Linked DNA regions of Elephas maximus indicus. Each later gene encodes a partner of the first gene's protein in a complex. Links are inferred from orthologs where the notes say so. Each region holds a gene or a part of one and is shown on either strand. Other genes may lie near its edges. The genes, in order: GRB14 and INSR.

Region 1 (14,649 bases):
CTAGTTTGTAATTTGAGGGTTTCATGTGTCATTCCAACTAAGAAAATTCAATTATGGATGGTTTTAGATGATATCAAGGAATTACTGCTATTTTTGTTAAGTGAATAATGGCATTGTGGTTATATAAGAAAATGTATATTTCAGAGATGTATAGAAAAATAAGCAAAATGCAATAATAGGAATCCCAGATTTGCTTTAAAATACTTTAGCAAAGTAAATAGAGAAAAATGAAATAGATGAAGCAAATGAGCCAAAATCTTGATAACTGCTGAGCCTATGTAATGATGTATGGGACTACGGTTTACTTCTTTCTACTTCTGTGTATATGAGAGAAATGAGTATATGAGAGTTGAGTAAATGTAGCAGCCACATAAGATTCCTACAGGACCACACATACAGGTCCCATCACTGTACAAATTGAGATAATTACTGACATCACAAAGGAATGACATCAGAGGCCCTTTAATTTGGGGAAAGAAATCTACTTATCCTTTAATAGTCTCTGACATGCAAGAGGAAAAAGAGATCAAAGCCTAAACATATTAAGAAGTAATTTCTTAACTATCTGAAGGATTGTTTTATTTTTCTGAGAGATATATGAAAAGGCTTAATTCAACAGAGAATAGATTAGAAACAGCATAGTTAAGGGCAAAGCCTATTCAAACAAGATATTCTCTTAGATCTCCCTTTATTTAAACTGTGGAACCACTGGAAAATCACGTCCAGTTTTGCATTTCCTTTTTCAAAACTTAAAATGGGGATGGCAGACCCACTTCCTGGTGGTGGTGTGAGATAACAACATCCTATGGGCCGTAAACTATATATAAAAACTAGTCATTAATAATACAAATAAATCCTACTGAATGTTATAACCAATTATTTAACATATTTCCATATCAATTTTAGGAGAAGAAAACTAGAAGAAAAAACACGAAGTGACAGTTATATCTGAGGAAGGAAAAAGAATAAGAAACTCCAGGTCCTGAGATGAACATTAACAAATGTCACCCTGCTCTTCCTGTATTACAGGCAGAGTTGTAACTAACAACACTAACGTAAGTTTACTACCTGTACTACTCTCATGGTTCTCAGTTTCTTTTGAAATTGTACCTTTCCGTCAGCCACATAGCATTTCTTTGACCAAATTTAACCAAAATCAAAACCAAACCAGTTGCTGTGCAATTAATTCCACTCATGGCAACCCCATGAGTTGCAGAGTAGAACTGCTCCACAGGGCTTTCATGGCTATGGCCTCTCAAAGCAGATTACCAAGCCTTTCTTACAAGGCACCTCTTGGTAAGTTCAAACCACTAGCCTTTGGGTTGGTAGCTGAGTATTTCACTGTTCATGCTACCCAGAGACTCCTAAACTCAATTTACTCATCTGTAAAAGAAGACTATTAGACTACATGATCTCAGAGATCTCTTGTAGCTCAAACATTCCACAATGCCCAGTTCTTCGTAAGTTCTTTATCTTTAAAACCTTCAGAGAGTTTATTCTGAATTAGATATACCACATAGTCTTGGGAAGCATTTACTGCACAAGCGTTTGCCAAGCACAAAAATTACCTACGGGTAGATGAGCTTGATATAAGAACTAAATCTGCCACAATGGATAAAGGTCTCTTACTCTTATCCATTCTTCAAATAACAGGTTTTCACAGTTCATTGCTAAGAAATTATTTCCTGATTAATTTGAATCAGAAATTAGAAAAAAAAAAAAAGAATCAAGATTCATTAAATTCAAGGTAAGTCACTTGAAATACAAAACTGAAATTATAAGTAACTTTTCTGAACCATCTATACGAAGAAAGGTATACTTTAAATCTGCTTTATTGGTAAACACAAAGAGCTATTTCTAAAAAATAGATCTGGCCAGCATTATAAAAAGAAGAATTGAGAGAAAAGAATCTAGTTTCTATCTCACTCTAGCTCTTATTTTAAAATAAAAATACTGAAAGCCTACGGTATTGTATGCTTGGGCATTTTATTTACCAAAAGAGCTAAAGCATATCCTATTTGTGGCTTCAATGCACTTTACCACTCATGCATTATGTAGCCATCTCCAATTGTAAAAAAATATTTATGGCCTATAAAATTATTTTTGACTGTGGTTTTAAAAGGCCAGGTGAAATTTAGCATTTCTAGTCAGCAGTCTTTCAAACTTTCTGGTAACTTACTTGTAAATAACAAATGCCATTCCTCACTTTTTCTAGAGCAAAGAAAGAATTGCTAAAACGAATGGAATGGATATACGAACAAAAATGAAAGCGAGAATATGAAGAAAAGAGACATCTTCTCCTATAATGTTTTAACCTTAAGTAATATTCAGTAGAACCCATTACATACAGTCATCTCAGCTGAAGGCCAGGATAATTTGGCCAGAAATACCATCTTTTAAGAAGATAATCTGTGTCAAAAAGATACTAGGCTTGGGGAAATTACTGACAGAGTTGTCAATTATCAAAGCCTCACTGGGCCCAAAGAAGCGAATGTGTATGTACAAAGGAGTAAGAACAAAAGGATCAGTTCTCAATGGAATCTCAAGGTGCGGGTTAAAGGAAACATAAAAGAATTTTAAAACTTCCTCCTCTCCAACTTTGGAACACCCTTCTCTTCATAGAGACTCCAGCCCTTAGGCCAAGGAAGGATTCAGCAGGAACAGGCCTTCTAAGGTTAGAAACACTCCTCCAGGATTGGTCCCCAGGAGGCAAGACAGAGCTTGCCGCTCATGGAACAGTAAGGCTGGCTGTGTGGGAGCACCGCTCTCTTGAGAAGGTCACTGTGGAACCAGAACACGAGGCCAGAGCAGGAGACCTGTTCGGAGGCAATAATATCATGCTTTTCCCATTTTACCCATTTGCTTAACATGACCTGAAGACATGTTGCCACTCCCCAAGATAAGATGTGTTACTCTAAGGAGATTCTCTACCCTTAGAAGTTACCCTGCCTTACCCTGACACCTCATCCACTCTCTTTCTCTATTTTCTTCCTCTACTGACACGTGCATACCAACACCTATTCTCTGTCTCATCTCAAAACAAGCTCTGCCCCATGAAAAGTCACTTGGACATGACATTGTCACAGTGTCCATTCACCAAATTAAAGTGAGAGTCAGCCTAGACCTCTCTCCTCCTACTCTTCTTTCCCCCTTCATCATTTTCCCCCAACCCAACTCCAAATCAAAGCCCTGCTTTGGGTAAAAACCCCTCAGATGGCATCTTTGGTTAGCTCAATGCCTCAGCACCTAGGATGGTGCAAGGAACATAGCACGCCCTTCATAAACATGGAATAATCTATTAAATTCCCCAAATAACTATTGTGTCCTTATCTGACATTTCCTTTGCCTATTCTGGGTCACATGGACAATCGAGAACTGATTTTCTCCAACACCACTGCACACAGTCAAATCTATCATTCTATTCCCATCTCATACCCTAACTCAGAGTCAAACTCTCAAAGAGCTTGGATGTTTTACCCCGGCTGATTGGTCCTTGGGATCTAACTCTTAACCTCACCCTGATAACAAAGCTCTCGAGCAAATCTCCCCATTGTCCACACCTCTATCCAAAATCATAGTCCCACCCATTTAAGGGCTTGCCTCCACCACTGCAGACTCTGATGCAGAACATACCTCTGTTCTTGGGATATTTACTCCTCCTTTCTCCAACCCTTATCCAAAAACATATGCATCAATTAGACTTCAACCAACATCCCCCCAAAATAGTCTATACACCTTGCTACATTAGATTTCCCTCAAAACACAACATTCCACGTGATGCTTCCCTACTGCCTCTATTATTGCTTATTATCAAGAACTCATTTTTCCCTAGGGCATTTCCTTCATTTCTAAAAATATAAACACACATCTATGAACTCACACAAGGAAGGTAGTAAGGCTGCGGAAAAAAGAAACAGAACAATAGATGTAAAGGAGAGGGAGATGATCCACTGTCTTTCCACTGTGTTCATCACCCCCTTCTCACTACAGGCATCTGGCTGTTTAAATTCATTGCTTCGATAACAACAAGGTGCATACGCCTAGTGAAGTCCCTCTTTGTTTTGCTAGCTCAAAGCTGAGAAAACACGTACTGAGACATGGATCGTTCTAGGATACACTTTTTTTTTTTTCCTCAAAATATATAATTATGATGCAGCTCCTCATAGTTGTTTGATCCTTTTTTCCTTAGAAATCTAAATTGGTTAAGTCAGTGTCCAAACTAGAAACCTGAAATCATAAAAATAAAGCCCATCTTCTATCATTTACAAGTCATTTGCTTTCTTGTAGTCAGAAATCTCCAAACTGAGGAATTCACTGAAATAAAGGAGACATGCCCAGTCCTAAACTCCAATTACTTATTGCTACAGATTCACTATATCACTTTCCTTTAGTAAGTGAGGTTGGCTTAGGTTGAGAATGTCAAAGATTAACGAAGATTAGGATCGTTGATTTTATGTGTCAACATGGCTAGGCTATGGTGTCCAGCTGTTTGGTCAAACACTAATCTAGATGCTGCCAGGCAGGTATTTTATTGAGATAATTAATATTTATGAGCAGTTGACTCTAAGTAAAGGAGATTACCCATGATAATGTGCATGGGCCTCATCCAATCAGTCGAAGGCCTTAAGAGCAAAAACCGAGGTTTCCTAGAGAAGAAATTCTGCCTCAAGACTGTTAACATAGATATCCTGACAGAGTTTCTAGCCCACCATCTGGTCTCCAATTACAGACAAGAGACTTCTAGAATATCCAGCCTGTTGCCTGGCCTATGGATTTTGAATTTGCCAGCCCCCACAACCATATGAGCCAATTCCTTAAAATAAATTTCAATCTTTTTCTCTCTCTTTCTCCTTTTATTCTCTCTATGTGTATCTATCGGTTTTTGTTTCTGTGGATACCCTAACGTGAAGGTATTAAAGGAATCAGCCAATCCCCTTCTCACCCGCTAACACCACCCCCTCTTCAATTGCTGAATTAAAAATTGGTGGTCTCTTATCATGTATAATGCTCCCACCTACCCTGTGAATAATAATAATTCCCAGGCATTCCATTTTATATATATTCTCTCTTTTAACCCATCCCCGAATCCTAAAAGTTAAATTTTAACACTGCCGTGGTGGCTCAGTGGTTAAGAGCTATGGCCGCTAACCAAAAGGTCAACAGTTGGAATCCACCAGCCACTCCTTGGAAAGCCCATGGAGTGGTTCTACTCTGTCCTCTACTCTGTACTATGAGTCGGAATCGACTCAACAGCGAGTTTTATTACACGGATGTGAAAATCGAGGAAAATAACACCAAAGAACTGTCCTAGTCAACACAGTGATTTAACATAAGCCATACTAATCCTTTGTGAATACTGTTAAAGACTGTATGATTTTAACACTCCTAAGATTTTTGAATGAGAAAATTTCAAAATGCGTACCTGTTTTTTCCTTGAATTTACTTTGGGAAACAGGCCTGCTGACAAAACAGATGTAAATGGAGAACAGCACAGCTCAGGAAAAGGGTTTGGAATAGATGGCATTTCCAGAACATCAAGTTCTTTCTTTTTTCTCCTACACCAAGAGAACATAGGATGTAATTTACATAAAACAGAATGTAAAATATAATCACTGTCAGGATTAAAAAGTGTGTTAAGGCCAACACGTATAGCGCTAATGTTATATAAACTATACAGAAAAGGTCTGCAAAGTACTTTCTTTGGGTCGAATTAAAATATGCTAATTGATACAAAAAATCTTCTATAGTATTGCTATCTTTTTTTTTTTTGCCTTTAAAAAAAAAAATCACCAGATATGGAAGCTCCATTTCCAGTACATTCAATAATTTTCCTAAATTGTAAACACATTAACTGTGCAATTATAAATGCAAACAAATCATTCTGAGGAATACTGCTATGCAGCCATGACAACAGTCTTTAAGTTTTATTTAGTGAATTCTTTCCTCTGATATTTTATTAATCACTTTTGGAAGTTATGATTTATTTATAGCTATGGTTCATCTCACTTCAAATTTCATTCACAATGTTGCCCACACACAGTCTGTTGATTTTTCAAGTGCTTATAGGTATTAAGGAAACCCTGGTGGCGTAGTGGTTAAGTGCTAAGGCTGCTAACCAAAGGGTCGGCAGCTCGAATCCACCAGGCGCTCCTTGGAAACTCTATGGGGCAGTTAGTTCTACTCTGTCCTATAGGGTCGCTATGAGTTGGAATCGACTTAACAGCACTGGGTTTGGTTTGGTTGTAGGTACTAAACAGCAAGGTAGTGTTTTTGAGGAGGTAAGCTAATAGAACTTGCTAGTATAAATGTCCACTGGAGAGTAATTTTAACTTTAGTGAAGTTGGAGCACTTTGAAAATATGGGGTAAAAAAGTTCCATTTAAATTATGAATATAAAGGACTGCAGATTTTTGAATTGTTGAAGTCTTTTTTCTTTCCTAAAGTATGTGCAAAACTGTGATCTCTAAAGGCACTTAGTGCTGTGGAGATTGGGAAAACCTTTTAAAGCCTCTATTCTTTGCTGCTGAACAGCAAGGCTGCTCAAATGTCAATCCAGCGTTTTGCTTCCCCTAGGTCGCTGTAAGACTCTATGTGGGAGGTGAACTCATTCATGCTACGATTTTTATTTAAAAAATACAAAATAAAAAGAATTAAAAAAAAAAATTCAGGGCTACGAAGAAGGAAAGGGGGTAGTCAACCCGGAGCTTGGCCTCCTAATTCACACCGATAGGCAGAAGCAAGAGAGACCAAGAGCTCTCAATGAAACGGTGATGCTATTTATAAGGCGCTGTGAGATCGCAATGTCCTGCTGATCCGGCAGGAGCCAGCTCAAAGGGAATTGTCTTCAGACACTTTCACAAACTTGGCCCAGCACTGTGCACATGGCTCACCCCCTAGGACCGCCTCCTACCCCTTTGCCGGCTGCCAACCCAGGACACTCCCCCGCGCCCTCGGAGGGCTGCCTACCTGTCTGCAGCACAGCCGCGGGTCCCATCCGGAGGGGGCAGGAGAGCCCGCGCATGCAACCACGGGGCTGGCGCCAGGTCGCGGGCGTCGCCCCTCCCCTGGCCAGCGCCGCACACCTGGACCGCCAGCGGCGAATCCTGAGCAGCCGCCCTGCCCGCGGCGCTCTGCCCATCTTGCAGGGAAGTAGTCATTGTCGCCGGCTGAGGGGCTCGGACCTCATGGGAGACCCGGCGCGGGGGGAGAAGGGAGTCGAGCGGCGGGCAGTGAGGTGCAGCTCAGGCAGCCAGAGCGCTCGGCAGGTGCGGTGGCCTCGCCGCGGGCGCTCCGGGCCCGGGCGGCTCAGACGCGCGGCCGAGCAGTCTGCGAGGCGGCGGGGGAGGGGAGGGGGCGGAGGAGGAGGGTGGGGAGAGGGGAGGAGCGGCCGGTGGGTGGGGGCCGCCGGCGGCCGGGCGAGGCGCGGAGGGGGTGAGGAGGAGAGTGCGCGAGCGCCCGGCCGGCCCCGCGCGTGGCCCGGGGCGCGTGGCTGCACTGGCGTCGGTCCCGAGGGGCCCGCGCCGGGGCCTCCAGCTGCCGACCCCGGAGGCCGGGTCGCCGCCTCCCCAGGTGGGCGCCGGAGCACCCGGCTGAGCCCAAAGTCAGGACGAGCCCCGTGCAGCTGGAGCCGGGGATCAAGCTAAGCTGAGCCTGTGCTCCCTTTGAGCTTGCTTTGCAGACCGCAGGCAGGGCAGGGGTCTGGGCCACGCCGACCCCCAGACCCTTCCATTCTTCCAGCTCTGCTATCTGAAATCACCTAAGATTTCGCTGGGCCGCCATGACAGGCCCCACTGTACCAGGAGGCCAGGGGTCCTGGGGGCTAAATTTGCCCCCGTCCTCCCCACACGTGCTTCTTCTTTCCATCCACTCCGTAGCCAAAATGGGGGCGGGGAGGGAGCAGAGAGTACAATCATTTTAGAACACTGTACTGAGGTTTTGAGAATTCTTGGTAAAGCATGAGTAAAACCTGGGAGTGTCTTTGGAATTAGGAAAATTATTAGTTTTTACTTTAATTTTCATCTTCCTACTCTGTTCTATTCCACCCTCACAATAGCCCTATAAATTAGACGTTTACCTTTTTTACCTTATAAATTAGATTATTTTACAGATCAGGAAACGGGCTCAAAGCCATGGAGTACCTTACACCACACAGCACTAGTAACTGGTACAGCCAAGATTCCACTATGCTGTTCCGTTAAGAGGCAGTAATACTACCTGCTCTGAAATTCAAAATGATACTCTGTTTCTGCTCTTCCAGTCAGTGCCCCCATCCCAGTGGGCAGTTGAGAATTTCCAAATGTTAATCACGCTCTTTGTTCTTTGACCAAATTAGGTAACATATGTCCCTGGCATCTGCTTCACCAGGTTTTCTTAACCTCCACAATCTCTGCCAAGGGAAAGGCAAACAACTGCCTCCTGAAGAAACCTGCAACTCCCCACCCCCACCATATTATTGCATCCTCCCACCATGGCACCAAACACTGCTAATGCCTAAACCCACACCAGCCCATTGCCATCCAGTGGATTACAACTCAATAACCCTATAGGACAGAGTAGAAGTGCCCCATAGGGTTTCCAAGGAGCAACTGGTGGACTCGAGCTGCCAAGGTGGTGGATAATGCTGTTAGCTAACACTTACTGACACTGTGTGCCAGGCGAAGATGTCACTCATCTCCAATTCCCTGATTTATGGCCAGGATTCTATGTGTGAATTTTAAATAGTGTAAAAGCTGTTGTTAGGTGCCGTCCAGTCGATTCTGAGTACCAATCCTATGCACAACAGAACGAAACATTCCCTGGTCCTGCAACATGCTCACAAAAGTTGCTGCGCTTAAGCCAATTGTTGAAGCCACTGTGTCAGTCCATCTCGTTGAGAGTCTTCCCCTTTTTCTCTGACCCTCTACTTTTACAGAGCATGATGTCCTTCTCCAGGGACTGATCCGTTCTGATAACATGTCCAAAGTATGTGAGACATAGTCTCACCATCCTTGCTTCTAAGGAGCATTCTGATTGTACTTCTTCCAAGACAGATTTGTTCATTCTTTTGGCAGTCCATGTTATATTCAGTATTCTTCATCAACGCCATAATTCAAAGGCGTCCTCTTCTGAATCCAGCCTGAATTTCTGGCAGTTCCCCGTTGATATACTGCAGCAGCCTTTTTTGAATGATCTTCAGCAAAATATTGGTTGCTTGTGATTTTTTTGTGTGTGATATTAATGATATTGTTTGATAATTTCCAAATTCAATTGGACTGCCTTTCTTGGAAATAGGTGTAAATATGGATCTCTTCTAGTCGGTTGGCCAGGTAGCTGTCTTCCAAATTTCTTGGCATAGATGAGTGAAGTGCTGCATCTGTTTGTTGAAACATCTCAATTGGTGTTCTGTCAATTTCCAAAGCCTTGTTTTTTGCCGGTGCCTTCAGTGCTTTTTTTTTTTTTTTCAGTGCAGCTTGGACTTCTTCCTTCAGTATCATCAGTTCCTAATCGTGTTACCTCCTGAAATGTTGAACGTTGACCAATTCTTTGGTATAGTGCCTCTGTGTATTCCTTCCAGCTTCTTTTGATGCTTCCTGGGTCGTTTAGTATTTTCCCCATAGAATCCTTCAGTATTGCAACTCAAGGCTTGAATTTTTTCTTTAGTTCTTTCAGCTTAAGAAATGCAGAGCGTGTTCTTCCGTTTTGGTTTTCTATCTCCAGGTCTTTGCACATGTCATCATAATACTTTGTTTTCTCGAGCCACCCTTTGAAATCTTCTGTTCAGCTCTTTTACTTCATCATTTTTTTTCCTTTTGCTTTAGCTACTCAACATTCAAGAGCAAGTTTCAGAGTCTTTTCTGACATGTATTTAGGTCTTTTCTTTCTCTCCTGTCTTTTTAATGACCTCTTATTTTCTTCATGGATGATGTCTTTGATGTCATTCCACAGCTTGTCTGGTCTTTGGTCATTAGTGTTCAGCAGGTCAAATCTGTTCTTAAGATGGTCTCTAAATTCAGGTGGGATATACTGTAGGTTGTACTTTGGCTCTTGTGGATTTGTTCTAATTTTCTTCAGTTTCAACTTGAACTTGCATATGAGTAATTGATGATCCAATCCACAGTAGGCCCCTGGCCTTGTTCTAACTGATGGTATTGAGCTTTTCCATGTAAAACTACACGGATATATTGAGGTCATTCCAGCAAAATAAAAATGAGGTCTCTGGGTGGTGCAAACTCTGTTGGTAACCACAAGTTGGAGGCTCAAATCCACCCAGAAACACCGTGGAAGAAACGCCAGGTGATCTACTTCTGAAAATCAGCCATTGACAACCCTATGGAGCACAGTTCTACTCTGATACACATGAGGTTACCATGAGTCAGAATCAGTCGAAGGCAACTCGGTTTTTTTGTTTTTTTTTTTAATGTATTTACAAATAACTGGAACTAAAGAAACAAAAAAAGAAAGAAACTCTAATCATTATCATAATTCCTATTTTCATCCGAAAAGCTTCTGCAAACAGCCAGTTTTCTCTAAGAATAATATCGTTCGAGCATTCTAATATCAGGGTGAATCAATAGCTAAAACTGGTTCCGTTTCCATCCCTGACAACACATTTTCTGTCTGTCTCTCTCTCTCTCTCTCCCCCGCTCTCCCTCTCTTCCTCTCTCTGTTTCACACACACACACACACACACACACACAGAGTAGGCTCTCTCTTTTATTGGAGAAAGGATAGAAGGAAACTGCATGTATCTTTAGAATCACTGGAAATTTACCATCCCACAAGATGTATCCTGCTCCACTTCCCAGGGTAATTTTTTAACCTCAAGAAAGAATATTCATTGGTTGGAATCATATCTCAATTGTGTCTCTTCTCTTCAGGCATTCAAATTCTTTTCTCCCCATTAGAGAAAGTCCAAGGGGTATCCATGTGCATGCTTTATACTCCTCCTCTAACCCCATGGGTAAAAATTATAAACCCTGCAGTCACCAGGGAGGAAAAAAGGAAAAAGAATGGGTCTCTAAGTAATGCAGACCTAAATAGTTGTATCTTGTAGACTGGTGTTAAGTAATAAATTTACTCCCAGGAATACCTTGAGGATCTGTACCAAGAATTATTAGAATTAGCTCATTCACAATTTTGAAACAAAAGAACTAGCATTCGTATCCAAGAGGTTTACAAGAATTGATTCTAAATAAAGAACTGTACAGTAATAAAAGGTGCCAAACACTGTCAGACCTACTACAGCCTAAGAGAAAACAGAGGCATTTTTCTTTCAAAGGAGAAGTTTAAAAAGATTTCTTTCCCCACAACTGGCAAGGATTTCTGAAACTATAAGAAGGCAGATATCTTGGTGCCAAAGTGTGGGTCCTCCTCTGAATGGCTGTCATTTCCTTTTGACTTGAGCCTCTAAAATCGAGAAGGAAGCTGTTTCCTGGCCCCTGCCCCACCTTGGACCCATTAGCAGCTCCCTTTCCTATCTCCTCATTCAGAGATCTCAGCATTTCCCACCCCTTATGGAAAATGTGCCCTCCTTCATCCCTCCCTCTGCTTATCGAATTAAACTTCTTAACCCTTAATATTGGGAAAGATAACGCACACAGAAAAATGTTCAAAAAACAAAGATATATGGCAAACGCACTGATGTCAGGTGATGAAATAAAGCACCTCTCATACCCCTACGCCAATCCAGAGTTTCATAGTCCTTATTTTTATTGATAGTTTAGCCATCTAAGTACCTATCCCTAAACACAATAGATTCCTTTGTCTGGATTTTACCTTTATATAAATGGAATCAGACACGATGCACCCTTTTGTGCTCAACTTTGTTCCCTTTACATTGTACTTGTGATATTCTCCCAAGCTTTTCTAAGTAGCTTTCATTCTTCTATTATATGCAAATACCACAATCTACCCATTCTACTGTATATAGTCATCTGGACTGTTTTCAACTTCTTACTATTATAAACAATGCTGCAAGGAACATTCTTGTATGCATCTCTTGGTGCACATATGCATGCATTTCTGTAAGGAATGTACTAGAGAGGCATTGTGATGTCATGGTATGTGTATGTTCAACTTTAGTATTGCTGTTGTCAGGTGCCATCGAGTCAGTTCCGACTCATAGCTACCCTACGTGCAACAGAACAAAACACTGACAAGTCCTGCACCAAACTCATAATTGTTATGTTTGAGCCCGTTGTTGCAGCCACCTTGTCAATCCATCTCATTGAGGATCTTCCTCTTTTTCACTGGCTCTCAACACTAGTAGATACTGCCAGTTTCCACTGCCACCGGCAATGCATAAATGTCTGCACTTCTTCACATTATTGGAAATCAGTATATTACTCAAATTTTCGCATTAGATTTTCTGATGAATGTATGGCATGTCTCATTGTAAAATATGATCTTCCCTAATGCTAATGAGATTGAACAATTTCCATAAGTACCAACTCAAGTCTCCTGTCCCTTTTTATGGTGGATTGTTTTTCTTTTTAGGAGTTCTTTTTATATTCTGGTTACTAATTCTTTGCTGGTTATAAAAAAAAAAAACCTGTTGCCATCAAGTCGATTCCAACTGGTAAATTTTATGCATATCTTCTCCCAATTTGTGGCTTGCTTTTTTCAAATTCTTAATGGTATCTTTTGATAAACAGATGTTCTTAATTGTAAGGTAGTCAAATTTAGCTTTTTATGATTTTTTTTTTTTTTTAACATTCTTGTCATGGATTGAATTCTGTCCCCCCAAAAATGTGTTATCAGTTTGGCTGTGCCATGGTTCCCAGTATTGTGTGATTTTCCTGCGTTGTAAATCCTGCCTCTACGATGTTAATGATGGAGGATGGGTGGCAGGTGTGTAAGTGAGACAGGACTCAATCTATAAGACTGAATCATGTTTTGAGGCAATCTCTTCAGATATAAAAGAGAGAAGCCAGCAGAGAGACAGGGGGACCTCATCCCACTAAGAAAGCAGTGACAGGAGCAGAGGGCGTCCTTTGGACCCAGGGTGCTTGCGCAGTGAAGCTCCTGGTCCAGGGGAACATTCTTGGGAACGCCGACAGAGAGAAAGCCTTCCCCTGCCCTGAATTTAGACTTTTAGCCTACTTTGCTATGAGGAAATAAACTTACCTTTGTTAAAGCCTTTCACTTGTATTTCTATTATAGCAGCACCGGATGACTAAGACAATCCTGCTTAGAAGTCTTTCCTCATATGTTCAAGAAATTTATGGCTTGCCTTTCACATTTAAATCTATGATCTACCTAGGATTTATTTATTTTCTTATTGTGTGAAACAGATTGTTTTAGTTATTTTTCATATAAGCAGATAATTGTGCTAGCAGCGTTCATGGAAAGAATCACTCTTTCCTCACAACTTTGCAGTGCCTCCTTTGTCATAATTCAATTGTTCATCTATCCATGGGTCTGTCCTGGGCCCTCTCTTCTAGACCATTAATTTATTTACTGATGCTTATGCCAATATCACATTGCCCTAATTACTATGATTTATGACAATTCATAATACTCAGTAGAACAAGCCTTTTTATTTTGTCCTTCTTCTTCAAGATTGTTTTATTGAGTTTAGAATTAGCATTTCAAGTTCTACAAAGACCTGCTAGGGTTTTGATTGAGTGGTATTGAATCTATTAATCCATTTGGGGAAAAGTAGTATTTTGAAATAATAACACTCCCTATCCGTACAGCTGCTACGTCCTTCCACTTGTTTGTATCTTAATTTGTCACAATGATGTTTTATGGTTTTCCGCAGACATTTTGCACATCTTTTCTTAGACATATTCTTCTTGTTTTTGTTGATAGGCGCCATTGAGTCAGTTCCGACTCAGATCGACCCTATGTACAACAGAACAAAACACTCCCCTGCCCAGTCCGATGCCATCCTTACAATCGTTGCTACATATGAGCCCATTGTTGCAGCCACTGTGTTAATCTAAGACATGTTCTTAGATATTTGATAATTTAACATTGTTTCGGATACCTTTTTGTCTACGTAATTGCTTTCATATATTAATTTTAATATTTTACCTGTAAATATTTTTATATTTTTATATACGCAACCATATTATTTGTGAAAAATGACAGTTTTATTTGTTTCTTTCTTTTAAGGGCCCTGGTGGTGCAGTAGTTAAAGCACTCAGCTGCCAACCAAAAGGTTGGCAGCTTGAACCCACCAGTCACTCAGTGGGAGAAAGATGTGGCAGTCAGTTTCATAAAGATTTACAGCCTTGGAAACCCTATGGAGCAGTTCTACTCTGTTTGGTAGGGTTGCTGAGAGTCAGAATCGGCTCAAGGGCAGTGAATTTGGTTTTGGAATCCCACCTTTTACGTTCTTTCGTGGCCTTACCATGCTGCCTAGGACCTTGAGTACAATGTTGGATCTAAGCTCAGTAGCAGGAATGCTAGTCTTACTCCAGATACCAAACGGATGATTTTCAACATTTTACCATTAAATATAATACTGTCATACATTTATTATAGAGGAGAGGTTCCCTGATTTTCCTTATTAGGTAATAATTTTTATCACAAATGGATATTGAATATTATTTTACAGCTTTTCTGCCTCTACTGAGTTTATTGTATAGTTTTCCTCCTTCATTCTATTAAAGTAAGGAATTATGTCAATATGTTAAAAAGGAAAACTCAACTTACATTTATGGAC
Region 2 (15,178 bases), on another chromosome or scaffold:
CGATCTCTGGAAAACCCATTGCTGTCGAGTTGATTCCGACTCAAAGCGACGCTATAGGATAGGATAGAACTGCCCCATAGGGTTTCTGAGGCTGAAATCTTTACGAAAGCAGACTGCCATAAGCGCTCACCCACGACGCTGCCACCAGGGCTCCTCCACAAACATTACAGCCTAGAAAGCCCTATGGTCAGCTCTACTCTGTCAAACAGGGTTGCCATGAGTCGGAATCAACTCAAAGACAATGGGTTTGGTTGAAGTTTGGCCTGGCTGCTTCAGAAAGACAAAGAACACCTTAATTTCTCAGGCTATTTTCAAAAAGCCACACAGAGGTCTTTGTCCCACAGGTGATGAAAAATTTCTGGAACTAGACTGAGGCGATGGTTGCACAACACTGTGAACGTACTAAATGCCACTGAATCGCGTACTCTAAAATGGTTCAAAGGGAAAATTTCACGTGATGTGTACTTTAGCACAATAAAAATAAAAGAGCAACGGAGCCCTTGCCTTCTCTTCATACCCTTTGCTTGTTACCTGAGACAGTCCGTTTCTTTTTCCCCTTATCAGCTGGAAAACACTATATATGATACAGAGACTCCATTGTGTCGTATAAAATATTTTCCCATCACTGTATATTGCTTATATTTTAATTTTGGTAATTTCACTTTCAGTATTGCATTAGTTTCTTGTCTGTTGCCCTTGAGTCGATTCTGACTCATAGAGACCCTATAGGGCAGAGTAGAACTGCCCCACGACATTTCCAAGGAGTGGCTGGAGGATTCGAAGTACTGACCTCTTAGTTAGCAGCCAAGCTCTTTACCACTGAGTCACCAGGGCTCCATTAGTTTCCTAGAGCTGCCTTAACAAATTACCACAAACTGAGCAGCTTAAAACAAGGAAATGTATAGTCTCACAGTTCTGGGGGCTACCAGTTTGAATTCAAGGTGTCAGCAGGGCTGCACTTTCTCCAAAGGTCTTTCCTCGTTTCTTCCAGTTCCTGGTAGCCCCAGGCGTTCCTGTGCTTGTGGCAGTAGGGTTGTTTTCAGTTGCCTTCAAGTAGCTCAGACTCACGGTAATCCCTGTTGCAGGATAGAACTGCTCCGTAGGGTTTTCCCACCACCTGTCAGTTTGTCATATTGTGGTAGCTGTGTGTTGCTAGAAGCTATGCCACCGGTATTCCAAATACCATCAGGGTCACCCGTGGTGGACAGGTTTCAGCAGAGCTTCCAGACTAAGACAGACTAGGAAGAAAGGCCTGGCAATCTACTTCTAAAAAAAAATTAGCCAGTGAAAACCTTATGAATAGCAGTGGAGCATCGTCTGATATAGTGTTTAAAGTGTTAAAAAGCAAAGCTGTGACTTGCAGGACTAAGGTGCACCTGACCCAAAGCCATGGTGTTTTCAATTGCCTCATATGCACGCAAAAGCTGGGCAATGAAAAAGCAAGACTGAAGAAGAATTGATGCATTTGAATTATGGTGCTGGTGAAGAATATTGAATATACCACGGACTTCCAGAAGAATGAAGAAATCTGTCTTGGAACAAGTATAACCAGAATGCCCCTTAGAAGCAAGGATGGTGAGACTTTGTCTCATTTTGGACATGCTATCAGGACGGGCCAGTCCCTGAAGAAGCACAACATGCTTGGTGAAGTAGAGGGTTAATGAAAAAGAGGAAGACCCTCAACGAGATGGATTGACACAGTGGCTGCGACAACGGGCTCAAACAGCAACTGTTGTGAGGCTGGAGCAGCACTGGGCATTGTTGCATTCTGTTGTACGTAGGGTCGCTATGAGTCAGAACCGACTTGACTGCACTTAACAACAACAACGGCAATGCCATGGACTGCCAGAAGAACAAACAAATTTGTCTCGAAACAAGTACAACCAGGATGTTCGTTAGCAGTGAGGATGGTGAGACTTTGTCTCACTTTGAACATGCTATAAGAAGGGACCAATCCCTAGAGAAGGACATCATGGAAAAAACCCAAACCCACTGCCATCGAGTCGATTCCGACTCATAGTGACCGTATAGGACAGAGTAGAACTGCCCCATAGGGTTTCCAAGGAGCAGTTGGTGGATTCGAGCTGCCAATATTTGGTTAGTGGCCAAAGGCTTAACCACTGCGCCACCAGGGTCCCGGTAAAGTAGAGGGTCAGTGAAAAAGAGGAGGAGATGGATTGACACAGTGGCTCCAACGATGGGCTCAAACGTGGCAATGGTTGTGAAGACAGTGCAGGACCCAGCAACGTTTGGTTCTGTTGTACGTACGGTTGTGATGAGCTGGAACTGACTCAATGGCGCCTAATAGCAACGACAACAAAGGGTTTTCAAGGCTGGGACCTTTCTGAAGCAGATCACGACGTCTTTCTCCTGAGGCACCTCTGGGTGGAGTTGAACTGCCAACCTTTCTGCTAGTAGCCATCCAGGGACTTGGCTTGTGGTAGTATCCCCCTAATTTCCGCCACCTTTGTCACATGTCACTTGACGTTCTCACCCCCGTCTCCCTCAGTGCCCCTGTTTTCTCTCCTTATAAGAACACCAGTCATAAAGATTAGGGTCCGCCCTAATGACCTTGGGAACCCTGGTAGTGTAGTGGTTAAGGGCTACAGCTGCTAACCAAAAGGTCAGCAGTTCGAGTCTACCAGGCGCGCTCCTCGGGAACCCTATGGGGCAGTTCTACTCTGTCGTCTAGGGTTGCCATGAGTCGGAACTGACCTGACGGCACCTAACAACAACAGATATTTCCTTTGGAAGATTAATACCCAGTTCTGTATCCTCCTAGTTTTTTTTCTGTGCTTTCAATTTTTTAAACGCTTTTTCGGTCTTTAAAAAAATATTTTTGTTGTTGTTAAAAATATACAGAGCAGACCACACACCAATTCCAGAATGTCTACATGCACAGTTTGTGACATGGATTACATTCTTTAAGTTGCACGACCATTCTCATGCTCCTTTTCCCAATTGTTCCTCCCCGTTAATATAAGCTCACTGTTCTCCTCCATCCCTTCCCTGGCCCCTCCCCCGCCCAAGCTTCCTATCTAAACTTTCCAGTTGCTGTTGTCAATTTGGTCCCACCTACATAGTTCTTTAAAAGAGTACAACGTGTTCTGCATCCCACTTTGGTCAGTGGCATCTGGGATCTTAAAAACTAGCGAGCAGCCATCTAAGATGTATCAGTTGGTCCCAATCCACCTGGAGCAAAGCAGAATGAAGAACACCAAAGGCAAAAGGAAAATATGAGCCCAAGAGACAGAAAGGGCCACATAAACCACAGACTCCATCAGCCTGAGGCCAGAAGAACTAGATGGTACCTGGCTACCACCAATGACCACTCCTACAGGGAACACAACAGACAGTCCCTGATGGAGCAGGAGAAAAGTGGGGTGCAGAACTCAAATTCTAGTAAAAAGACCAGACTGAATGGTCTGACTGAGACTGGAGGAACCCCAAAAGACATGGACCCCGAACTCTGTGTTAGCCCAAAACTAAAACCATTCCCGAAGCCAACTCTTCAGACAAAGATTAGACTGGACTATAAGACATAAAGTGATATTCGTGAAGAGTGTGCTTCTTAATTCAAGTAGATACATAAGACTGAATGGGCAGCTCCTGTCCAGAGGCAAGATGAGAAAGCAGAAAGGGACAGGTTGAATAGACATGGGAAACCTGGGGTGGAAAGGCAGAGTGTGCTGTCACACTGTGGGGATGGCAACTAGGGTCACAAAACAACGTGTGTATAAATTTTTGTATGAGAAACTAACTTGATCTGTAAACTTTCACTTACGGCACAACTAAAAAAAAAAAGGTGCATTGCCAAAGCAGACTTTCTTTACTAATTCAGTGAAATATTGTTTGGTTTAAAGAAGACTTCAGGGGATATTTTTGGTGTAAGATTTAAGATGTAAAGATTATTGCAGGGCAATGGTTTTGGGGGTTCATGCAGTCTCTATGGCTTCAGAAAGTCTAGATTCCATAAGAATTTAAAGTTCTATTCTGCATTTCCCCCCATTTTGATCAGAATTCTTGTATAGAATCTTTGATCACAATGTTTGGTAAAGGTAGCCAGGCACCATTCAGTTCTCCTGGTTTCATGGCAAAGCAGGCAGTTGTTTATGGAGGCGATTAGCCACACATTCCATTTCCTCCCCTTATTCCTGACTCTCCTTCTTCCTTCTTCCCCTGTTGTTCCAGATGAAGAGAGAGCAATTGTTGTACCTTGGATGGCCGCTTGCAAGCTTTTAAGACCCCAGGTACTGTGCAACGAAATCAATGGGACAATCTCCCTAGGGATAAACACTTAAAAAAAAAGTTGTGATAAATATATTTGTAATAACACATTTGCCATTTCCACATTCTTCACATGTACAATTCAGTGACATTAAATATGTTTTCATGTTGTTAAACCACTGGCATGATCTGTTGTAAAATTTTTTCATCACCTCTGGTAGAAGCTGAATGTCCTCCAATATGCTTTAATTTTTAATTTAGCAAATTATATTTAAATGCATTTTTAGAATTTGTTTTTGAAATCCATTCGTTGAAGACTTTATAGATTTCCCTCTCCAATTACCATACGATTATCTTGGACCTTTCTAGTAACTCACAGTGTTGATAATGATTTTTCCCTTTCCCGCAGACTGGGAGATGCCTTTAGAAATAGTATATTAAAAATTGGAGTCTATTTCTAGGTTACCCCTTCTGATATATGAATTCAGCTGCCTATATTTGTGCTTATTTATATTCATTATAGCTTCATAAAGGAGCCCCAGTGGCTCAATGGTTAAATTCTCAGCTGCTAACAGAAAGGTTGGTGGTTTGAACCCACTCCGAGGCCCCACAGGAGAAAGACCTGGTGATCTGCTCCTGTAAAGATTATAGCTTAGAAAACCCTATGAGGCAGTTCTACTCTGTCGCATGGGGTTGCTATGAGTTGGAATCAACTCAGTGGCACCCTACAATAACAACATAGCTTTATAGGATTTTATTATCTGAAGAATGTTAGTGCCTTTCCCAGTTATTCTTCTTTTCCAGATGTTTCTTCCCTATTTTTACCTAATTATTCTTATAGACCAGTGGGTCTCAGCTGGAGGTTATTCTGCCCCGAGGGGACATTGGACAATGTTTGGAGACATTTTTATCACCACAACTGGGGTGAGGAGAGTGCTTCTGGTGTTTCATGGGTACAAGCCAGGGACGCTGCTAAACATCCTACAATGCACAGAACAGCCCCCTCCACAGAGAATAATCTGGTCCCAAATGTCTGTAATCTCAGTTGGAGTTGATTCAATGGCAAGTGTTTGATTTTTTTTTTAAAAGAAAGCATTATAGTTTTTTTTTTTTTTTTTAAATGGGTTGGAGCCATTGCTATTAAAATATTTCCTTGGTATTTTATTTTATTTCACTTTGCAGCTATGGTAATGGTCTGAAAAAATTTAGCTCTCTTAGACATGCTGATTTTTAAAAAAAGTAAGTAATATACGGTACATGGTGAAAAACAATTCAAACAGATTAAAAAAAAGTTACTGGTTTCTCGTATATTCTTTGAGAACCATTTCATGAATCCATAAATATCTTCCCCAATAATCAGCCATCGAAAACCCTATGGGGCACAGTTCTACCCTGACAGTCATGGGGTTGTCTTGAGTCTGAGTTGGCTGGATGGCAATTGGTCAGGGAGTCCTTCCTGACCACCCTCCCACCTCATCACACACACACACACACACACACACACACACAGAATTGTGTAATTAATGACCCTCTCCCCCACTAGGTTGTGAGCTCTACAAGGAAATAGAACATGTTTATTTTGCTGACTGTAATTCCCCGTTACTTATTGTTTAAGCTTCTTCCATTCAGCAAATATTTATTAACCAACAGTGTGTCAGGCAGCAGGAGTAACGAACCGGACTGACTGGGTTTCTGGTTCACAGGGAGGGGAGAAGATGTACTACAAGGTAAACAATAAAAAATAGGGATTCCAGGTAGTTTTAGGTGTGTTATTAAAATATCAGAGGAAAGGAACAAAGGACTCGGGGGTGGCATTTGCAAAGCCTGGTGAGCAAAGGTGTCATTGTAGCATAGAGGTGGAGTCAGCCACGGGAGGGCTTGCTGAAATGTTACAGACAGGGCTGATAGCCAGGTAAAGGCCCAGAGGGAGAAGAGAGTCAGGCCAGGGCCTGTCACACAAATAGTCGTTTAATAAAGGGGAGGAAGAATGAATGCCCAGGGCCTAGGATTGTGCTGGTCACTTTCCCAAGCTTTATTTCCTGTGTGCCTCCCCAGGCCTGCAGGTATTGTCAAAGAGGTGAGACCGACCTAGAAATGGTAAATCACTAGTCCAAGGCTACACAGAGAGTGAGGGTTGGGGTCCTGGATTTCTTATACAGAGGCCCCCTTGGCCCCTTCAGGAGGGTGACTGACTACTCACTGTCTAGCCCTATTCACAAATGGCATCACTGCGCATTCAGACACATATGAACTCCGTTGTTTTTGTTAGTTGGTGTGTGGAGTCAATTCCAACTCATGGTGACCCTATGTGTGCCAGAGTAGAACTGTGCTCCACAGGGCTTTCAAGGCTGTGACCGCCGGAAGTGGATCTCCAGGCCTTTCTTCCGAGGAACTTCTGGGTGGGTTTGAAGCGCCAACCATTTGGTTGGTAGTTCAGCGCTTAAGCGTTTACACCAGCCAGGACTCCTAGATGAACCCCAGGTCTGCATACTGAAAATCAGGCGTGTCCACCTACCCCCAGCCCAGGATCTCCAAGGGCCTGGTCTGTTCTGTCAGGATATTCCGAAACATTCTCCTAGACGCCATTTCTCCAACTACAACTACGAAGCGCGCGGCACACACAGGGCGCCGGGCATGTGACTGTCCCCAGAGGCCCGGCGTGGCTCCCGCCCCTAGACGGGGAGTCCAGGGCACCCCGACTCGGGGGAGGGGGAGATCGGAGTGGCTGGCGCGCTCTAGGCTGGGACTAGGGTGAGGTGAGTGAGGCGCTCCGCTCGTCTACAAAATTTAAGGACGTGCTCCAAACCCAAGTAACCAAGATAAATAATATCTAAATGCAGTATTAACAAAAAATTCCAACGAACAACAACAAAAAATGCACTATGAACAAAATACCGAAGTGCACAAGAAAGACAAAGATGTGTCTCGCTGGGGCGGCCAGGGCGGCCTCACGCTCCGGGACACGAGCCGCTGGCGCGGTCTGGGGAGCCCCGGGGGCCTCCAGAGCCCGGCCGGGCGGGGGGAGGGGGCGGGGCGGGATGGGGCGGGGCCTCCCTCCCTCCCCCCGCCCCCTCCCTCCCTCCGCCCCCCTCCACTCTGCCTGCCTCCCCGGCGCCGAGTCCCTTCCGAGGCGTGATCCGCGCCGCCTTTTCCCGCGGTCCGCGCGGGGCCCAGCTGACGGGCCGCGTTGTTTACGGGCCGAACAGCCTCGCGCCCGCCGCCCGCCAGCCGCCCGCCAGCCCAGGTGCCGCCGCCGCGCGCCCGTCAGTCCGTCCAAGTGTCCGTCTGTCGGTGCGTCCACCGCCTGCGGCCGAGGGCGCGCGGGACCGCCAGCCGGGAGCCGGGGCGCAGCGCGGGCTCCGGGCCCAGGGACCGCGAGCCGGGGCCGGGCCGCGCCGCTGTGTTGGTGGCGCCGAGGCCGCGCGCCCCTCCCGGGCCGTTGCTGGGGCCCTCCCGGGCGGAGGAGGAGGACGCGCGGCCACCGGCGCCTCCCGGGCGGGCGGCCGCTCGGAGCATGACCCTCGCGGTTGGGCGCCGCGCGCTCTGAGCTGCTGGGACCCCGCGCTCCCGCAGTCATGGGCTCCGGGGGCCAGCGGGGGGCGGCGGCCGCGCCGCTGCTGGTGGCCGTGGCCGCGCTGTTGGTGGGCGCCGCCGGCCACCTGTACCCTGGAGAAGGTGAGTCTGGGGCGCGGGGGTGGGCGGGGACATCGCGGCCGACGGCACCCCGCTGTTCAAATGAAGTCCCCGCTAGGGCGCGAGGGCCCGCCCGGGAGCGGGTGGCCCGGACGGTCGCGTCGACCTCGCGGGGGGCGGGAGGCCGCTGACCTTGGCCTTTGCCCGCTCGGGCTCGCGGCTCGGCTCCCCGCGCGCCTGCCCCGGGCCGAGGAACCTTGCCCCAGTGCCCGCCCCGCGGCGGGCGCCTCTCCTGAGTGCGCTCGGACCCACTCCTGCTCCTCCATCCCCACTCCCCCTTCCCCCGGTCCCGACGCGCTCCCGAGGCGGGGCACGCGTCCTCGCTGGGTCGCCTCTGGGAAGTCGGATCCTAAGGTTCGGGCGGCCTCCGACAGCCCAATGCCTGCCTGGCGTGCACACACGGTTGGATGCAACGCAGATAGTGCCGGACTTGGGGGGGGGGGCGGTGTTCTTTGGGGTTCCCGCTGCTGGGTGGCGCTGCCCCTGGGTGGGGAATTGTAGACCCCTCGTCGACTCCCAAGAAGCCCTGGTCGTGCAGTGGTTAAGCGCTCCCTGGTAACCAGAAAGGTTGGCGGTTTGAACCCACCAGCCTCTCCGCGGGAGAAAGATGTGGCCGTCTGCTTCGGTAGAGATTACAGCCTTGTAAACCCTATGGGGCAGTTCTACTCTGTCCTATAGGGTCGCTATGAGTTGAAATCAATTCAAGGGCACATAACAACAACTCCGATTTCCTTGGGATTAAGCTGGTGACCACCACTACGGTCCGCGTTTACACATTTGTGTCCTGCTTCCAGATATCCTGAGCCAAACTCTAGCACCGTGGCAACACCTGCAGCCGTTGTAGTAACAACTAGGGGTGGCATACATCATGGTTGTTATAAATAGTATCACTGTATGCCTGGGGTTGGTCCATCTTATTTCTCTGGACCCTCACAGTGGCCCCTGGAGGCTGATAGTGCTATTCCCCCATTTCACAGAGGCGTAACCTGAGGCTCAGATAGCTCACAGAACTCACCTGCTCCAAAGTCAGTGCCAGAGCTGGGACTTGAACCTCTGTCAGTGGGATTCCAGGTCAAGGCTCTGGTTTGCAATCCCTCGCCCTAGGTCCCCTAAACCCTTCCCACCCCTCAGCTTCACCCTTCATGAGGGTTCTTTCCCTGTTAGCCCTGGGAGTGTCTCTGGCCTTAATGAGCCTCACACTCCCCCTGGCCCCATGGGCTGCCCTAAACCCCTACCCCAGCATCCTCCTTGCTCTGCTTGTGGGCCGGGACTGATATAATTGGGATTTCCCACCATGGGGTCTAAAGCTCTGCTTTAAACATATCTGTTGGGTTACTTCTTCACCTATCTCCATAAAAGGAAATAGATCATGGGTGGGGAAGGGGTTAGAGAGGGAAGTCATAGAAGCTCCTGAGTTCCCTGATGTAAACGAGGTAGATGAGAAAGCATAAGCTTTGAAGGTAACAAACCAAGTTTGCTGAGTGGCTGTGCCACTTGGTTTCTCCGAGACCCTGAGTACCTGGTAGGCATCAGGTCTACCAGGTAGACTGCGAAGAGTCGCAGTTGGTTTGGGTTCTCATTAGGAAAACCCAAGACGAGTGATTAGACCTGTGCCCGGCTTCTTGTATGTGCACGAGTATGAGTGTGTACTTCTGCCTGGGCACGCTTGTGTGTGTGTGTGGCTCCTCGCGCTTCTGTTCCATCTAGCTTTGGTAATTAATTGTGGATCTGTGCCTGGGCTTCCAGGCCTCAGATTTACTGCTGCTTTCTGTATTTACGGAAACCCTGGTGGTGTAGTGGTTAAGTGCTACGGCTGCTAACCAAAGGGACGCCAATTCGAATCCGCCAGGCGCTCCTTGGAAACTCTATGGGGCAGTTCTACTCTGTCCCATAGGGTCGCTATGAGTCGGAATCAACTCGATGGCACTGGGTTTGGTTTTTGGGTTTTTCTGTATTTACAGCTTCCATGAGGTCAGGGGCTTTTTGTCTGTTTTGTTCACTGTTAACATTTCCAGAGCCTAGAACAGTGCCTTGCACATGGCTGTGGTTGTTAGGTGCTGTCCAATCCATTTTAACTCATAGCGACCCCGTGTGAAAGAGTAGAACTGCCCTGTAGGGTTTTCTAGGCTGTAATCTTTACCGGAGTAGAGTGCCAAATCTCTTCTCCTGTGGAGCTGCTGGGTGGCTTCAAACCATCAACCTTTCCGTTAGCAGTTGAGTGCTTAACCGTTACACCAGCAGGACTCCTTTGGCATACAGTAGGTGTTCAGTAAATGTTTCTTTTTGAATGGGGCTAGGAACAGAGCCTCCGAAGGAGCTGCTTGTTCGCCAGATAATACTTAACAGTAAGAGCGGACACTTAGCAGGCGCTGTTCTCTGTGCTGTGCGTATATAACCTGAGTTCATCCTCGGGAAGTTGTTGTTGTTGTTGTTGTTAGTTGCCTTCCATTCGATTTCGACTCATGGTGACTCCATGTGTGCAGAGTAGAACTGCTCCACAGGATTTTCAAGGCTGTGACATTTTGGAAGCAGATCGCCAGACCTGTCTTCTGTGGTACCTCTGAGTGGTTTTGAACTGTCAACCTTTTGGCTGCTAGTTGTAGGGCCTATTATTATCCCTTTTTGCAGATGAGGGGCGCCCTGGTGGTGCAGTGGTAAAGAGCTCCACTGCCAACCAAAAGGTCGGCAGTTCAAATCCACCAGCTGCTCCTTGGAAACTCTATCAGGCAGTTCTTCTCCGTCCTATAGGGTCGCTATGAGTTGGAATGGACTTGGCGGGAACGGGTTTGCTCTTGGCTTAGTTTTGCAGATAAAGACAGCTGCCCAGAGCTCCAGCAGGTGGCACAGTCGAGATTAGAACCCAGAGCGCTAATTTCTTAAGCAAAGATCATTCTTTCAGTAACTAATTCCTGCCATGTGCCTAAGCCTCCCCCAGCCCTACCCTGGGGTAATGTTTAACAGGATTCTATCAAATAGATGAGATGTGATGCCCCTTGAAGACGTGGGGAGTAGGGGGAGGACCATCTTTCCAGATCATTAATCTCTGTTGTTGTTGTATGCTGTCAAGTAGAGTCCTACTCGTAGCGACCCCATATGACAGAGTTAGAACTTCCCTGTCGGGTTTTGTTTCCCAGGCTATAATCTTTATGGGAGCAGATTGCCAGGTCATTCTCCCACGGAGCTGCTGGCAGGCTCAAACCGCTGACTTTTCAGTTAGCAGCTGAGCGCTTAACCATTGCACCACCAGGGCTCCTTTATTAATCCCTAACGTCAGCCAATACGGCATTTTGGGCGAGGTGGGGAGGAGGGAAATAAATGCCATTTTTAAGGACCGAAGAACTGTTTCTTGGAGATGTTGTATGGGGCTGTGCCACCCCCACCTGTGGTCCCGTGGAGTCTTCATTGCTGGGTGGACCTGGGCTAGGGCTGCCTTCTCTGTTTCCATTTAGATTGGGTGGTTCTGGCCCCAGGTTCCTTACCGGCATTGCAAAGTCAGAGAACTAAAGCAGTGCGGGGTTAATGAAAATCGGACCCCACAGGTTTCCTGGGTTCAAGTTAGTTGGCCAATTGAGGCATAAGATGCTTTCTTGTTTCCAGACACTCCTGATTTCTTAGGTACCCCTGATTCTCAGGTACCCCTCATTTCTCAGACACTCCTGATTTCTCGAGGGACAGCCACGAGATGTTTCTCTGGTGTGTTTGGTACAAAAGATCCCCTAGTCCCCAGGCAGAACTGCCATCTGCTCAGTCACCTCCCTGCGATGATTCCAGACCTCTGCTTCTCTCCTGGAGACTGCATCTGGCCCCTGCCCCACTCTGTTATCCCCCTGGGGTCCCCACCTGATCCCACTTCCATTCCGCTGTCAAATCAACCCCTGACCCCATGTATAACCTGGTCCTGTGCCATTGCCATGATCATTTGGAGTTTGGACCATTGTGATCCATGAGATTTTTACTGGCTGATTTTCAGAAGTAGGTTGCCAGGCCTTTCTTCCTGGTCTTAGTCTGGAAGCTCTTCTGAAACCTGTTCAGCCTCATAGTAGCAAGCAAGTCTCCCTTGACATACGGGTGGTAGCTGTACATGAGGTGCATTGGCCAGAAATCGAACCCGGGTCTGTCACATGGAGGGTGAGAATTCTGCCACTGAACCACCAACGTTGTTGTCATTAGGTGCCATTGCATCTACTCTGACTCCTAGTGACCCCATGTGTTCTACAGAGTAAAACTGCCCCATAGGATTTCCTAGGCTGTAATCTTAATGGAAGCAGATCGAAGGTCTTTCTCACGTGGGTTTGAACCCCCAACCTGTAGGTTAGCAGTTGAGTGCTTAACTGTTCATGCCATCAGGGCTTTTGGCAAAACCACCACCGTCCCCTTCCTGTTTTATGAGAGCAGGACTTCTTACCCTTGGCACCCTTGACGTTTGGGTCTGGATCATTCTCTGCAGTGGTGGTGGCGTGGCATCCTGTGTACTGTAGGGTGTCGAGCAGAATCCCTGGTCTCCACCCATTAGATGCCAGTTGAGAACCACTGCAGCAGAATTGGCCTCATCTTTGTCTAAGACGCTTCTCCGCCTGGGCCCCTGCTTGCTCCCCTCTCTCCATCCAAGGAGCTCCTTCCACCCACAAGCCTTTCTTGTTTCAGCCTTTAAACATTCAATGCTCCCCAACGCCACTCCCCACCACCTGGCCTGGGTTCCAAGCCTGGGCCCCCACCCACCTCGCTTGCTCCCCTTTCACCCACTGCTCTGCCCACAGCGTCTGGCTTGTGTCTCTACCGCCCTGCTGTGGCTCTCCACAAAGGTAATCCTTCACCTCCCAGTTACGTCTTCTGTGGCCTCACCTCACTTGACCCCTCTGGGTTTGACACTGCCCACTCCCTGCCGCTAGAAGGTGACTTGTCACCTGTTTCTCATTTCTCACCTTTGCTGCTTCTTCTACCTGTGCTTAGAAGCTGGCCCTCATGTCTCGTGGCTCCCTGGATCTTGTTGTATGAACTGCTGTCGAGTTGGTCCCTGGCTCCGTGCGTTACAGAGTAGGCCTGCTTCCTGGGGTTCTCTCGGCTGTGATCTTTAATGGAAGCAGTTTGTTAGGCCTTTCTTCTGTGGAGCCACTGGGTAGATTTGAACCACCAGCCTTTAGTTAGCAGCTGATTGCAAGCAGCTCGTGCCAGCCACACTCGCAGGACTCTATTATGACCCTCTCTAAGCCTAGATTTTTATTTACTTAGATTTTTATTTTATTTTTATTTACTGGTCTGACTCCATCTAGAATAGATGGCCCTCAGGGGCCAAATCCTGCCCACCGCCTGCTTTTGTAAATAAAGTTTTATTGGCACACAGCCATGCTCATTCATGTACAGACTTTAAAAAAAAAATGTTATTATTATGCTTTAAGTGAAAGTTTACAGCTCAAGTTAGTTTCTCATACAAAAATTTATACACACATTGTTATGTGATCCTAGTTGCTCTCTCTATAATGTGACAGCACACTCCTCCTTTCCACCCTGTATTTCCTGTGTCTGTCCAATGAGCTCCTTTCCCTTTCTGCCTTCTCATCTGCCTTCAGACAGGAGCTGCCCGTTTAGTCTCATGTATCTACTTGAACTAAGAAGCACATTCTTCATGAGTATCTTTTTATGTCTTATAGTCCAGTCTATTCTTTGTCTGAAGAGTTGGCTTCAGGAATGGTTTTTTTTCTGAGTTAACAGTAAATCCAGGGGCCATGTCTTCCAGGGTTCCTCCAGTCTCAGACAGACCATTGAGTCTGGTCTTTTTTACTAGAATTTGAGTTCTGCACCCCACTTTTCTCCTGTTCTATTGTGGACTCTCTTGTGTTCCCTATCAGGGCGGTCATTGGTGGTAGCCGGGCACCATCTAGTTCTTCTGGTCTCAGGCTGATGGAGTCTTTGGTTTATGTGGCCCTTTCTGTCTCTTGGACTCATATTTTCCTTGTGTCTTTGGTGTTCTTCATTCTTCTTTGCTCCAGGTGGGTCGGGACCAATTGATGATGCATCTCAGATGGCCACTTGCTAGCTTTTAAGACCCCAGACGCCACGTACCAAAGTGGGATGCGCAACATTTACTTAATAAGCTTTATCATGCCAGTTGACCTAGACGTCCCCTGAAACCATGGTCCCCAGATGCCCTCTCCCTCCACTCTGCCCCTTAAAGTGTTTGGTTGTATTCAGGAGACTTCTTAGCTTTTGGTTTAGTCCAGTTGTTCTGACTTCCTCTGTATCGTGTGTTGTGCAGGCTGTCCTTGATGGCTGCTTTTGCTCTACAAAGGCAGAGTTGAGTAGTTTCGACAGAGAAAGCATGGCCTGCAAATCCCAAAATATTTACTCTTTTGGCCCTTTACAGACAAAATTTGCTGATCCCAGACCTGAAATGAACTTCACGGAGGTTCATTCTTCGTGGCGTGCTTGTGTGGAGTATCTCGGTGGTGCAAAGAGTTAAAGAGCCAGGCTGCTAATAAAAGGTTGGAGGTTCGAGTCCACTGAGAGGTGCCTTGGAAGAAAGGCCTGGCAATGTACTTCTGAAAAATTAGTCATTGAAAACCCTACGGAGCACAGTTCTACTCTGACACACATGGGGTTGCTGTGAGGTGGAGTCGACTTGATGGCAACTGTCTTTTTTTTTTTTTCTCTTTTCATTATGGAGAAAATATTCACAACAAAACACACACCAACTCAGCAGTTTCTACGTGTACAATTCACTGACGTTGATTACATTCTTCAGGTTGTACAACCATTGTTGTTATCGTTTACTAAATTGTTCCACCACCATTAACACCATCATGCCTCCTAAGCAAAAACTTCCTTTCCCCCCTCCTACCCCTGGTAGCCATGGATTATCTTTGGTTTCTAGATATTTGCTTATGTTTCATGTAAGTGAGATCATATAGTATCTGCCCTTTTGTGACTGACTCCTTTCACTCAGCATGATGTTTTCAAGGTTCACCTGTGTTGTGGCATGCATCAGGACTTGGTTTCTCTTTATGGCTGAGTAGTATTCCATTGTAAAAAAAAAAGTATTCCATTGTGTGTATAACCATGTTTTGTGTATCCATCCATGCATTGATGGACATTTTGGTGGTTTTCACCTGTTGGCTATTGTGAACTGTGTTGCAGTGAACATTGGTACACAGGTTTCTGTTTTCAAGGGTCCTTCGTGGCAACTGGTTTTTAAAAGCTCATGTGGTCCCCGGTATAAGTTGAATGAGTAAAGTTAGATGAAACCTCCAAGGATGCTGGGTTT

What was found.
Region 2: the proteins of GRB14 (region 1) and INSR are in contact, whole or in part, in a crystal structure (PDB 2AUH), measured with the Homo sapiens proteins. The link is inferred for Elephas maximus indicus from reciprocal best matches to the Homo sapiens genes GRB14 and INSR. Residues at the interface, in NP_004481.2 of Homo sapiens: Glu373, Asn374, Ser375, Leu376, Val377, Ala378, Met379, Asp380, Phe381, Ser382, Ser386, Val388, Ile389, Glu394, Val398, Ala399, Glu401, Glu402, Gly403, Leu404, Trp406, Arg407; in NP_000199.2 of Homo sapiens: Leu1065, Arg1066, Ile1069, Glu1070, Lys1112, Arg1116, Arg1163, Met1180, Arg1182, Tyr1190, Lys1192, Gly1193, Gly1194, Lys1195, Gly1196, Leu1197, Leu1198, Pro1199, Val1200, Trp1202, Ser1207, Leu1208, Lys1209, Asp1210, Gly1211, Gln1235, Asn1242, Glu1243, Leu1246.

What each region holds. Positions count from the first base shown.
Region 1 is NC_064824.1:62,581,918-62,596,566, forward strand, and holds the start of GRB14 (growth factor receptor-bound protein 14), read right to left. Parts: upstream 7,337-14,649; 5' UTR 7,157-7,336; coding exon 6,966-7,156; exon of another isoform or gene 6,848-6,965; intron 5,556-6,847; coding exon 5,423-5,555; intron 1-5,422. UniProt on the Homo sapiens protein: Adapter protein which modulates coupling of cell surface receptor kinases with specific signaling pathways. Binds to, and suppresses signals from, the activated insulin receptor (INSR). Potent inhibitor of insulin-stimulated MAPK3 phosphorylation.
Region 2 is NC_064821.1:11,902,145-11,917,322, reverse strand, and holds the start of INSR (insulin receptor), read left to right. Parts: upstream 1-7,791; 5' UTR 7,792-7,802; coding exon 7,803-7,902; intron 7,903-15,178. UniProt on the Homo sapiens protein: Receptor tyrosine kinase which mediates the pleiotropic actions of insulin.